3 linked regions of the Oryctolagus cuniculus genome follow. The protein of the gene in region 2 interacts with the protein of the main gene of each other region in a pairwise test. Links are inferred from orthologs where the notes say so. Each region holds a gene or a part of one and is shown on either strand. Other genes may lie near its edges. The genes, in order: CPNE2, UBA3 and IMPA2.

Evidence for each region.
Region 1: the proteins of UBA3 (region 2) and CPNE2 interact in binary tests that used the Homo sapiens proteins (3 or more experiments, as listed by UniProt). The two-hybrid records come from large-scale screens. The link is inferred for Oryctolagus cuniculus from reciprocal best matches to the Homo sapiens genes UBA3 and CPNE2.
Region 3: the proteins of UBA3 (region 2) and IMPA2 interact in binary tests that used the Homo sapiens proteins (3 or more experiments, as listed by UniProt). The two-hybrid records come from large-scale screens. The link is inferred for Oryctolagus cuniculus from reciprocal best matches to the Homo sapiens genes UBA3 and IMPA2.

Annotation. Positions count from the first base shown.
Region 1 is NC_091449.1:40,737,753-40,741,397, reverse strand, and holds part of CPNE2 (copine-2), read right to left. Parts: intron 1,311-3,645; coding exon 1,131-1,310; intron 1-1,130.
Region 2 is NC_091441.1:80,257,197-80,261,449, reverse strand, and holds the start of UBA3 (NEDD8-activating enzyme E1 catalytic subunit), read right to left. Parts: upstream 2,937-4,253; 5' UTR 2,851-2,936; coding exon 2,831-2,850; intron 2,645-2,830; coding exon 2,603-2,644; exon of another isoform or gene 2,163-2,602; intron 809-2,162; coding exon 688-808; intron 1-687. UniProt on the Homo sapiens protein: Catalytic subunit of the dimeric UBA3-NAE1 E1 enzyme. E1 activates NEDD8 by first adenylating its C-terminal glycine residue with ATP, thereafter linking this residue to the side chain of the catalytic cysteine, yielding a NEDD8-UBA3 thioester and free AMP.
Region 3 is NC_091441.1:69,072,630-69,076,274, reverse strand, and holds part of IMPA2 (inositol monophosphatase 2), read right to left. Parts: intron 3,322-3,645; coding exon 3,188-3,321; intron 1-3,187. UniProt on the Homo sapiens protein: Phosphatase that can use myo-inositol monophosphates, myo-inositol 1,4-diphosphate, scyllo-inositol-1,4-diphosphate, glucose-1-phosphate, beta-glycerophosphate and 2'-AMP as substrates in vitro.

The sequences.
Region 1 (3,645 bases), on a different chromosome or scaffold from region 2:
CGACAGCGGCCCCGAGTGCGGAGTGTATCAGGACAGGTTCAACAGTCAAAGCCGCACAGAGAGGAAAAGCAGAACACACCTAAGAGGCACCCTCCCTGCAGCCTCTGCCCCCTGTGGTCCCACCACCCGCCAGGCCATCAGGTCCTGTCCCCAGGCTGCCTCTGCCCTTCCCCCCTGCTCTGTGTCCCATGGACAAGTCACCCGGTCCACTGCCTCTGACTTCCCAGGGGTTAGCAGCGGGGCACCAGCAAGACATAAGAGAGCAGGAGCGGGGTGAGGAGGGCGGCCATCATTTGTGGGACGCTTTATTCTTGCTCCTGTCCCCAGATCTCCCACCCCTGGCCACGGCCCTCACCTGGCCGGCCCTGCCCCCTCCTCTGCGGGGCCCAGGCTGGTGCTGCTACCTGTGCTGGTTCCCTCTCCCCTTGCCCGTTCCTGGCCTCGTCTTCCTCAAGCCCTCTCCCCACCTCTTCCACCTTGTACCCGCGGCCTGGCCTTGGCTTTTCTGGCCCTGTCTCAGGAACGGCTCGGGGCCTCGGGGACGGCTCAGGGCCTCGCAGCCTCCACCGGGACCTCCTGCGGCACTTTCCAGTGTAGGCTGCGCAGGGCAGTCGTCACTGTCCCCAGGCAAAATCCGGAGAAACTGAGGCCTCGGCCGAGGTGGGGGCTTGCCAAGGACACAGCTGTAGGAATGATGGCGATTTGGGCCAGGAGCTCCTAGCCCCGCCCCTCCCAGCCTCCAGAAGCTCATCCAGGACTGAGCTGGAAGGGGCAGTGTGGCCCCGAGAGAAAGGAAGTTGCTCAGGGTCACACAGCTGGCCCCCAGAGCAGGACGCTCCTGGCCCAGGAGAGCAAGACCGAGCTCTGGCCATGCGGGGCCCCATTCCTGTGTGGCAGCGATCGGGGGGCCCTGTGGTTGGCTGTTCCCACAGATGGGCGTTCATTAGCCTGGCACGCAGCCCACCAACCTACTTTCCCCTTCCCCTCTCTAGTGTCTGCTGGCCCCCAGCAAACGGGGCCAGGGAAGGCAGGTGGAGAGGGCCATACCCGGGGGCCGCTCTGTCCTTGGCGTCTGGGTGCCACCTGGGGGAACTGCCCGCCTCCTGCCCGCCACGAGGGGCCCGGCTCACCGTGCCCAGGCTGCAGGAGAACTGGCCCAGGAAGTCGTGCTCATCAAGCTGCATGCTGGACTTGTCCTGGTCGAACAGGGCGAACTTGAGCTTCTGCACCTCCTCGAAGTGGTAGTCAAGGACGAACTTCTTGGAGAAGGCGGGGCTGAGGTTGTTGATGGCCGTTTCTGTCCTGTCATACTGGCAGAGGGCAGGGGGATGGGACGCAGCCAGGGTGGCTGGTGTCACCCCCTGGGGCTGCCGGGAGTCATTCCAACTCATTGAACACAGACTCTGTGCCTGGCACGCACAGATCCTATCCGTGCAGCTGAAGCCATTGCCCCCTGTAGCTCACAGATGAGGACACCGATGCACAGAGAGGGTGAGGCACTCACCCGAGACTGAACAGCTAGGTGGGCAGAGCTGAGATTCAAACTCAGATCTGACTCCACAGTTCTGGCTCCACACCCAGCGCCAGGGTAAGAGCTGGGGCCCGGCCCTGCCTGGCTAAGTGACAGAGCGGGAACCCCTATCCCAGGTCTGCACTGTAGCACAGGGGGTTAAACCTGCTTGTGATGCCGGCATCCCACGTCAGAGCGCCCCTTCCAGTCCAGCTCCCTGCTAACACACCTGGGAAAGCAGTGGAAGATGGCCCAAGTACTTGGGTCCCTGCTACACATGTGGGAGACCCGGATGGAGTTCCTGGCTCCTGGCTTTGGCCTGGCTCAGTCCTGGCCTCAGTCTGGCTCAGCCCTAGCTGTTGTGGGCATTTGGGGAGTAAACCAGTGGATGGAAGATTTCTCTCTGTCACACTGTATTTCAAATAAATTTTAAAAAAATTCCATTTCCTCCATCCAGGCCTCATTTCTACTTCTGAAAAGGGCAGAGACCTATCTGGTTTTCATACTTTTTATTTTGGGAAAACCTTCTTTTTCTCAACCACGTTTCAGACAGCAGCTGAAAGAGGAAACAGGAAGGAGAGGAGGAGGGGTCATGAGTGCCCCCACCCCCAGGGCCCAGGTATTTGTGTCTTCAATAGATTCCTGGATTGTGCAGCCCAACCCCCGCCCTCCCCTCCCCCCCAGCGCCTGGGTGAGGACAGCGCCCCCCCACTCACCACTCCCCCCAACCCCCGCGACAGGGGCCCCGCCCCCTGCCCCTCCAGGCTGAGGCTGGAGTCTGGGTGACTCTATTTCCGGGCCCAGGCTGTGTTGATTTTTCCCTCCCACCCACTTCGCTTCCAGGGCTTGAGCAGCAGGAGTGGAAGAGGTCGTGGCCCTGGGCTATTTTTAGCCAGGGTGGCCAGCCTGGGTGGGAGCCGGGCTGGCCGGCCAGGAGGGTGTGCGGGTGCCTCGAGTGCGGGGTGCCCCTCCTTGAGGAGCAGGTGGGGGCTCCAAAGGCCTGGCAGAGAGGACCAGCGCCTCGGCCACGCTCCCCCAGGAGTCAGCCTGCCTGTCTCCAGCTGTCCCACCAGCGCTTGGCGACAGAAGTCCCTCCTCACTGGGCCCCGACTTCCTCTCTGTAACGGGTCAACAATCCCAGCCCCATTTCCTTGGCATCACAAGCAGGCGCCAGCGTCCATGGAAACTTTGCAAGCCGCAGTACTTTCGGCTGGATGCTCAGTGCGGCCCAGTCAGGTACTGAGAAACAGATCTGGGCACACACACACGCGTGCAGACCAGCTGGGGGCCGCGGCCGCTCTGCTAACAGAGTTTTCCCTGGTGTGTGTGTGTTGGGGTGGGGGGGTGGGCTTGCAGCCACTGTGGTTTTCTTCTCGACTCTTCTTTCTCTGGACTTTCCCAATTTACTACAAAGAATAGAGTTTCCTCTAGGAACAGGAAACAGAAAGCTTTCAAAGGCGCCTCAAGCCACACTCACCCCAGCCCTTAGGCCGGCATCTTCCAGCTCAGAAGTCCTGGCGGGGGCACCAATACACCCAGCGCAGGGCCCCTCTGAGGTAGGCGGGGGAAGGAGATCCCCAGGCGGAGGCAGGTTCAGAAAGGGAGAGTCACTTGCCCCAGGCCACCCAGCAGGGCCTTGGGCCAGCTCCACCATCCAGACCTGAGCTCCTCACCCCGTTGGCTCCCCACTACATTCATTTAGAAATCAGGGGGCATGGGCGTTGGCCCAGTGGTTAAGGTATCACTTGGGGAGTATGCACCCCGTATCAGAATGCCTGGGTTCAAGTCCCACAAGTATGCCCATTCCAGCTTCCGGCCAATACACAGCCTGCGAGGCAGTGGGTGACGGCTCAAGTACTTGGGTTCCTGCCATCCATGGGGGAGACCTGGATTGAGTTCCTGCCTCCTGGTCTCGCAACTGGCCCAGCCCCTGCCACTACGGGCATTTAAGAAGTGAACCAGTGGATTGCAGCTTTCTCTGTCTTTTTCTTTCTCTTTCTTATCTCTTAAATAGAAAACCACATTTTTTAAAAATAGAAATAATATGAGAAGGTTATTTAAAAGCAGAAGTGATCATTTTGTAAAATTATTAAGTTTCAGCTATCAGAACAATGTAAAAATTATGAAATAAAACA
Region 2 (4,253 bases):
AAAAAAGCAGAATTAATACTGTCAGTTCTATATAACATTAAAGGAGAAAAGTTACTCAGGTAAGACACTGTGCCAAACTCAGAAGTCTTAACATTAAGAGTACTACAATATTTCTCTTTCAAAACAGTATCTCTTAAAAAAAAAAAAGCTACAAAAGGACACAAGTACTTACTGTAAAAATACTTTTCTTACTTTCCTATACCTAATGAAAAACAGGTATCTAATTGAACATTTTCTTTAAGTCAGACATTATCAGTCAAAAATTCTATGCCACTGTTAGCACTCATATAATTTTTGACATGCAACTAAATATATTCAATTCTAAGATAATCCAACTAAATTCCAAAATTTAAATAAGCATATCTATACTTTTATCTTATAGTAGGGCTACTGAAGAGGAATTTGTCTCAAATCATTTTGAACTGGAGTTTTAAGTATAACAGAATTTTTAAAAGTTATGAAGTTATTTTCCTCTTGAACTCTTTCAACTTATATTACGTGAGAAATGTGAAAATTACTCAAATATTATTCACTCAAGTAAATTGTAAATATACAATTGAGTATTTCAAAATACTACGTTTTATAAGAAAATTAGTTTTCATAAGAGCAAATTAAAAAAGGAAGCATTTTACTATGTTTGAAACATAAAACTATTAGAGCAGTTATTTAAAAATAAACGTTTCTCACTTCAGTGCTCGGTTCGAAATCAGGGTGTGTGAAGGGTCCAGATCGCTCGAGGAACTTCTTTACATGGTTCCAGCGACCTTCCCAGTCTCCAGTGTCCCCACACCCACCATCAACAGCCATTCTGCACAGAACACAGTAAATTCAGCTGCAAAGATCAGTCCGGAAAAAAGCCACACCTACAGTTATTATGGTTTCCCCAAATGAAAAGACCTGCTCAAACAGAAAGGGAATGATCAATGTGGTCATGTCTATGCTCTCCTATCACTTGTCTATTATACGGTTCACTTAAGAACTGCCTGTGATTGCTTCTATTTTTTTTTTCTTTTTATTTCATCCACCTGACAAAATAAAATCAGTCTACCTGTTCCTCAAGTAATCCAAGGTCAAACTTGGGATGTTGGTCTATGGGTAAGAAATGGACTTGTCTACATGTGGTATTTACACAAGACCACAGCAGCCTTCCCCAGTATGTTCTTTCAAGTCAGCTGATCTGGCAATGTCATATGCATGGGAAAACAACAAAAGGGACACTCTAAGAACTGAGGCTTCAAATCTACCACCACCCATGTGTTCTTTATTTTCTATTGAAAGGTGTGATTCAAAGATCATTTCTGATGACAGAAGCTTTGACATGGTTTTCTCAGAAACAGGAGTCCAAATTTTCAAAAATTACTGAGTCCTGTGAGGTGGTTTCTGTTGCCACTACAGTTAAAAAAAAAAAAAAAAAAAAAAAAAAAAAAAAAAACTCAGCTTGTCATCACACCTAGAAACCTTTCAGGATATACAACTGCATAAAGTGGGACTTCTCTACCAAAGTGTACAAACTGTCTTATCAGTGCCAAGATTCATATCTGGTTGTGGTTATTTTTTAATTTTCTACTTTCAAGTATGTTGGTAACACCCAGAAGTATTGCATAGTAATAAAGACCATAGGTCTTGATGCGCAGTCGGGTTTGGCTCCACAACTAATAGCACCATGACCTTGAGCAGATTACTGAATAGCCATAAACCTCAACTGCAGGCTATTGGGAGCAACTTCTTAGGGCCAGGAGGATAAAGCGATATTAACACAGAGGACTTAATAAAGGATGGGGCATGTCGTGCACTTTGTGCAAAAGTGGAAGGGAAATCAAAGGTGAGGAAAGTCTGTCATTCCAGTACTCTAAGCAGTTGAAATTCAAGTTCTGGGGGAAGAGACCTCAGGATGACCAAAGCACCAGGAATTGGCAGAGAAATTACAAACTCACCACACCCACTGCGAGAGTATTTTCCACTCCCATGTAGGGAGGAGAGAAATTATGTGGCGCTGGCTCAGTCCGAAAACACTGTGTAAATCTGTCCCACCAGCACAAAACTAATCATCTGGTAAGACACGGGGTGTATGGTAAGTGGGGAAAAAATAAGCTGTTGGTGTCAACACCCTCCTTTAAGAGTCAATTATTTCGCAGAAATGGTTGACGTGCTTAGTACAGTACCTGAAACACAGTTTTCACACACAGTGTGCACTATTGTCTCAGTGTTTACGAAAGGCAAAAACAAAACGGCCCCGTGTCCGTTAGGTGTGTGTGTAAGTTGGATTCCCTTTTCACAAGCTCAAGGATATGACAATTTGGGATGGAGGAAGAGGGGGGCACAACGGTCCTTCCGCAAAACCTTTAAGTCAGACGCCCCGGCGGCCCCTGAAGGCCCTGCAGGTGCACCCCGGCCCCGACGCCCGCCGGGGCACAAATCTGGAGTGGCCCTCGGGGGCCCCCGGGGCTGCTGCGGGACCGGGGTCAGGGGAAGAGGCCGCGCGGCCTGAGCTCCGGGTGCCCCCCTCCCAGCCCCATGGGCCCGCTGCGGCTGGTCCCCTAGGCCTGGGGTAAGGGGAGGCGGGGGTCCCCGGAGAGGGCCCCGGCCTCCCGGCAGCACTAACTTCTCAGCCAGCAGCTCCTCTATTCTCCTTCTTTTCTTCTCCCTAAAAGAAAGAGAGAATAAAAGAAGGGTCAGCATCACGCTACACATTGGGCGCCGCGAGAGGATGGGGGGCGAGGGGACGGGGTGGGGAGTGGAGGGGACCCCGGGTGGGGGCGGCGACCGCCCTCCGCCGCGCTCTCTCACAACCCAGCCCAGCCCGGCGCGCCGGCAGAGCCCCGGTACTTACGGCTCCTCGCCATCCGCCATATTGTTCTCCGCCTCTTCCCAGGTGCCCTCTCGGCGGGCGGAGTCGGCGGGAAGGGGCGGGACTTGTGGGAGGGCGGGGCTTGCAACGATGGGGAGGGGTCGGCTGCGCCTTAGCGCCCCTGGGCTTGAAAGCAAGCGTCCCGCTGCAATTAGGATCTTAATTAGCTACCCCTCATTAGATAACTCTTATGCCCTGTGTAATGTCACGCAGGGTGAAATGTGGACGCAAAGCATTCTGTTTTTATACAATGTATATGCTGATAAAGAATTACATATAATGTTGGTATATTCAATGAAAAAATGCCTGGAAGGCTAACTCCAGTATGCTAGAGCTTGCCTCCGGAGCAAAGAACCGTCCCAAAAATCTTTGCCTGTGTAGGTCCACACTTTAAGAACAGATTTAAAGGGGCCGAAGCTGTGGGGTAGCAGGTAAAGCCACCGCCTGCAGTGCCGGCATCCCATATGGTCCCCGGTTTGAGTCCCGGCTGCCCCACTTTTGATCCCACTCTCTGCTGTGGCCTGGGAAAGCAGTAGAAGATGGCACAAGTGCTTGGGCCCCTGCACCCACGTGGGAGACCCAGAAGAAGCTCCTGGCTCCTGGCTTCTTATCAGCATAGCTTCAACTGTTGCAGCCATCTGGGGAAAGAACCAACAGATGGAAGTTCTCTCTCTCTGCCTCTCAAAAAAGAACAGATTTATCTAAATCTGTTCACAGGAGTAGGATAGAATTTTGTTATTTTTTTACTTTTTGAAAAAAATCAGTATTTTAGTGTCACTTCATTCTGTCAGATAAATTCAGCAAAAATGGAACTATACTGGAAAACTTTGAGGACATCAGATAAATATATGTATTTAGATAGAAGAAAAATACTTAGAAAGCAGGAAAAATTAAAAACTGACTTAGAACACTCATAATCCCATCACCTAAAGATACGTGTGACAACATTCTAACTGCTTTCTTCCAGTGTCAGAAGTGTGTATACATGTATAGGTGAATCTGAATGCTGGGGTAGAGAAATATATTCAAACACACGGACATATCCTTCTTTGGAGAAGGACACCAGTGGATTTGAAGTCAGAAAGAACTAAATTTAAGTTGTTACTTCTCAGTAATTAACTATAGGACCTTGGGCACTTTCTTTTAAAGCAGTCATTTTAAAAAATGCTTGGCCTTTTGTTTTTTGTTTTTTTGGTTTTTTTTTGTTTGGTTGGTTTTTTTTTTTTTTTTTTTTTTGGTTGTTTCTGTTTTTGGCCTTTTAAGACTGAGAATTAAGCAAAGTGGTTCTCAAAACACAAGGCCTGATCAACATTACTTGGGAATTTGTTGTGAATCTAATCCAGCCCTGGATGATTCTGAAGTCGTAAGCTTAAGAACCACTGAAATGGAGAAGTATTTTTTGTCT
Region 3 (3,645 bases), about 11 Mb from region 2:
TTGGAAGTGGAGTAGCCGGGACTAGAACCAGTGCCCATATGGGATGCCAGCGCCTCAGGCCAGGGCGTTAACTTGCTGAGCCACATATTCAGCTTTTTGAGGCACCTAAAGACTTCCCTGGGATGTGGGGAGGGAGGCAGGACTTTTATTTACTTAAACCTGACTTCCTTCATGTAGGAAGCTAACACCTACAGAACAGGAGAGAACATTCCAAGGCTCTTGGCAGAGGGGGAGGGAGAGTCCACGCCACAAACCGTATCCTGCACAGACTCAAGTGTGAAATAATCTTTCATAAAAGCTGTGGAACAGCTACATAAAAATCTACATGTAAGTTGCAAAAAAAGAAAATCATGGAAGCAGATAAGAAAACAGCAGCTGGGTTCAGGGTGAAGTGTGTGACTAGGGAGAATGCTACATTTTGCGGCCTAATTTAACTACTTCCGTTTTCTCTTGGTAGTTGCAACAAAGCTTCCTTATAATTTTGACAGCCAAGTGCCTGGAGACTTTGCCCGTGGCTACTTCATCTGTTTACTCTATGACGGAAGGTTTGGGTTGTCCCTTTGGTCCATGAAGGACAGCTGATGTTACTCAGGCTATCTTCACAAGCTACTGCTCTGTCCCCACCGGCCGCTCTGCAGGCTACTGGCCCCAGGCTGGGGAAGACTATGATCAGGTGTCCAGCTGGGGGTGGTGCGAGCATGCCTGTTCCATGTCAAGGCTCTGTGTTATGTTCTGTTTGACGCACAGATGAACAGACACTGCTCTGTGCTGGGCACACCGCAGGACACTGGGTCCCTCTGCGGGCTCTGACCAGGGCAGCATAGGCGGCTGGACAGGCCAAGCAGCTCAGGCTGCCGCCTTCTTCGTGTCTCAGCTAGCCCAGACAATCTCGGACCTGGTTGGACGATCTTAGGAGCAGGCGTTGTGGCGTGGTTTATATCACCACAGAGCCACGATGCCACGAGACTTTCAAAGCACCTACGCTTGCATCTGACTCCAAATCACCAACTGAAAACAGTTCGGGGATCCAACAGAGCTGGGGCCTGCACTGAGCTGAGCTCGTGTGGTCGGTGTCAACAGCATGCTCTGATGACCCAACCTGCATCCCAGCCTCATGGTGCTGGATTACTTTGTGCCATCATCACGGCAGGTTAAGGCAGCTGCTGCGAACTTGGGGACGGCCGTGATGTCATTGATATTGTTTTATGGGGGTGGCCTGTAATGTGGGGTAGTGGGTAAAGCTGCCACCTGTGATGCCAGCATCCCATGTGGGTGCCGGAGTGTGTCCCGGCTGCTCCAGCACAGTTGATAAAGCACCCAGAAATGGCTGACTGGTCGCTGTTATGTACTGAACAGGATTGGGCACCCCAAACTCTGCAGATGTTTAAACCCCAAAGTCTGATGGCGTAGTGCTAGCGGCTGACGGATCAGGGTCGGGGCTTGGTCTGAGGCTGGTGCCTGAAGGTGGGGCCTTTGGGAAGTGACTAGATTGGATTCGGTTGCATGTGGGGAGCCCCAGACTGGGTTGTGATGGTTTAGTCAGAGGCACTCAACATGGAAGGGGAGCCCTTTGCTTCCTGGCTCTCCCTCCAGGCACCCTTCCCCTGCACCTGTTCACATCAGATGCAGACTAACAAGGCTGCCCCATGGTGGCCTGCAAAACTTCAAAAACTCCCAGTGGAAATAAAGCTTCCCCCTCCCTAAGAAGCTCCTCAGAGGTATTTTAGTTCAAGTAACAAAAGGCTGACTAATTCGATTCCTGTAGCGTTTTTTCCTCTTAAAGAGTAAAAGCAGTCCATAGGGTACAAGTCTTGTGACACTTGTGGCGTAGTGGGTAAAGCCGCTGCCTGCAGTGCCGGCATCCCATATGGGTGCTGGTTTGGGTCCCGGCTGTTCCACTTCTGATCCAGCTCTCTGCTATGACCTGGGAAAATAGTGGAGGACGGTCCAAGTCCTTGGGCCGCTGCACTCACATGTGAGACCTAGAAGAAGCTCCAGGTTCCTGGCTTCAGATCGGCCCAGCTCCTGCCATTGCAGCCACTTGAGGAGCAAACCAACAGATAGAAGATCTACCCCCCCTCCCTGTCTCTGCCTCTCTGTAACTCTGCCTTTCAAATAAGTAAATTAATCTTAAAAAAAAAAAAAAAAGCCAAGAAGATGACAAGCATCTGTTTTAACAGGGACCCTGACTTCAGGCAGAATAAGAAATAGGGATGTCAGAGAAGCTCACACACAGAGGTTGTCAATCAAGCAGAACAGGCACGAGCCTCAGGCAGAGCCTCCCAGGAGTGCTGCTAACCCTGAGAGCACCCAACTGGGCAGGGGAGGGGGGAGGGGTGTTTCCACACCTGCCTGTTCCTTGTCCCCACAAGCACTCACGAGCACCCTGTACTGAGCCTCGTGTACACTCAACAGGTGCAGGGTGGGTGTCATATGTATCACTGTCACCTAGGCTTACATAAACACAGACCTGACAGCTCCTGTAACCTGTGCCCAGGAGTCTGACAGCTAAGACAGCAGTTCTGGGACTCCAACACCTTTAAGAGATCCTATACAAGGAAGAAAAGAGACTCTTCACATCCCAGTGCCTCAGAGACCCTGCGCTGAAGAATAAATCATAATTTGGGGTCTGTGGCTTCCCTGGAATCATAGGCAAAATACCACATCAATGTTTTAATTGATGCTTTTTAACTGTTTGCATCAGGTTCTCCATACGTAACCCTGGAAAGGCTGAGAGCTTCCGGTGTGAAAGTGGTCTCTGTGAGGCCTTCTGGGGAACTCTCCCCATGTCCCCCACACGTGTTGGCCTGAATGAGGGGGGTGTGCATCAGTGACCACTGGCTGTGTCCCATCCTGGAAGCCTGCCTGGGCAGCAAGTGGCCCAGCCAATGGGGACATCGGGCAGGCGCAGCCTCTACTGCATCGCTGCACAGAAGAGCTGGGGACCGAGGAGCAGGGAGCTCCCCCTGAGAATGGGTTGTACCAAGAGGGAGCTTTCAACATCTGTCAGGTGCGACACTGACGTCACTGTCGTTGAGAAAACAGGACACAGAACGGAACCCGAGTCTGTCTGCTTCCCAGGGGCCTGCCCCTCACCGACAAGTGGCAGGGCCTCTGGGTGAGGTCCTGGCTGCTTCCTGAGCGAGGTGGGTGCCACGGGGTTATGCACCCCGAGGCGTACGCCTACCTGTGCGAAGGAAACCTCTCCCGCAACTCGGAAATGATTAAATCTTCCACGAGGTGGTCTGTTTCTGTCACGAGATCCGCAGCTGAGGTCTTCGTGGAGACGCGCTTTTCCTCCGTGAGCGCCTTCCTGATGATCTGCAAAGAAGGCACTGGGCTCAGCTCACCACCGTCCCCTCCTGGAGCAGAGCGCTGTCAGCTGGGGCGCTCACTGGACCCGCCATGCCCCGCCCACATCCCGGGGCTCAGTGCCACACCCACAGCTCCCAGTCGCTATTTTTTCACAGGCTCACTGCTTCAAGTTGTTTTGCCCTAGCTGTGAACAGTTTTTCTATAGAGCAATGTGCAACTTTCACCTACAAGAGCAGCCCAACCAAGACCCGTGCTAACTTATGTGCCCCCTATTCCCATATATTTGAATGTGTGCATTTGGGTGTGCAGTAAAAGCTTCTTTTCCCTAAT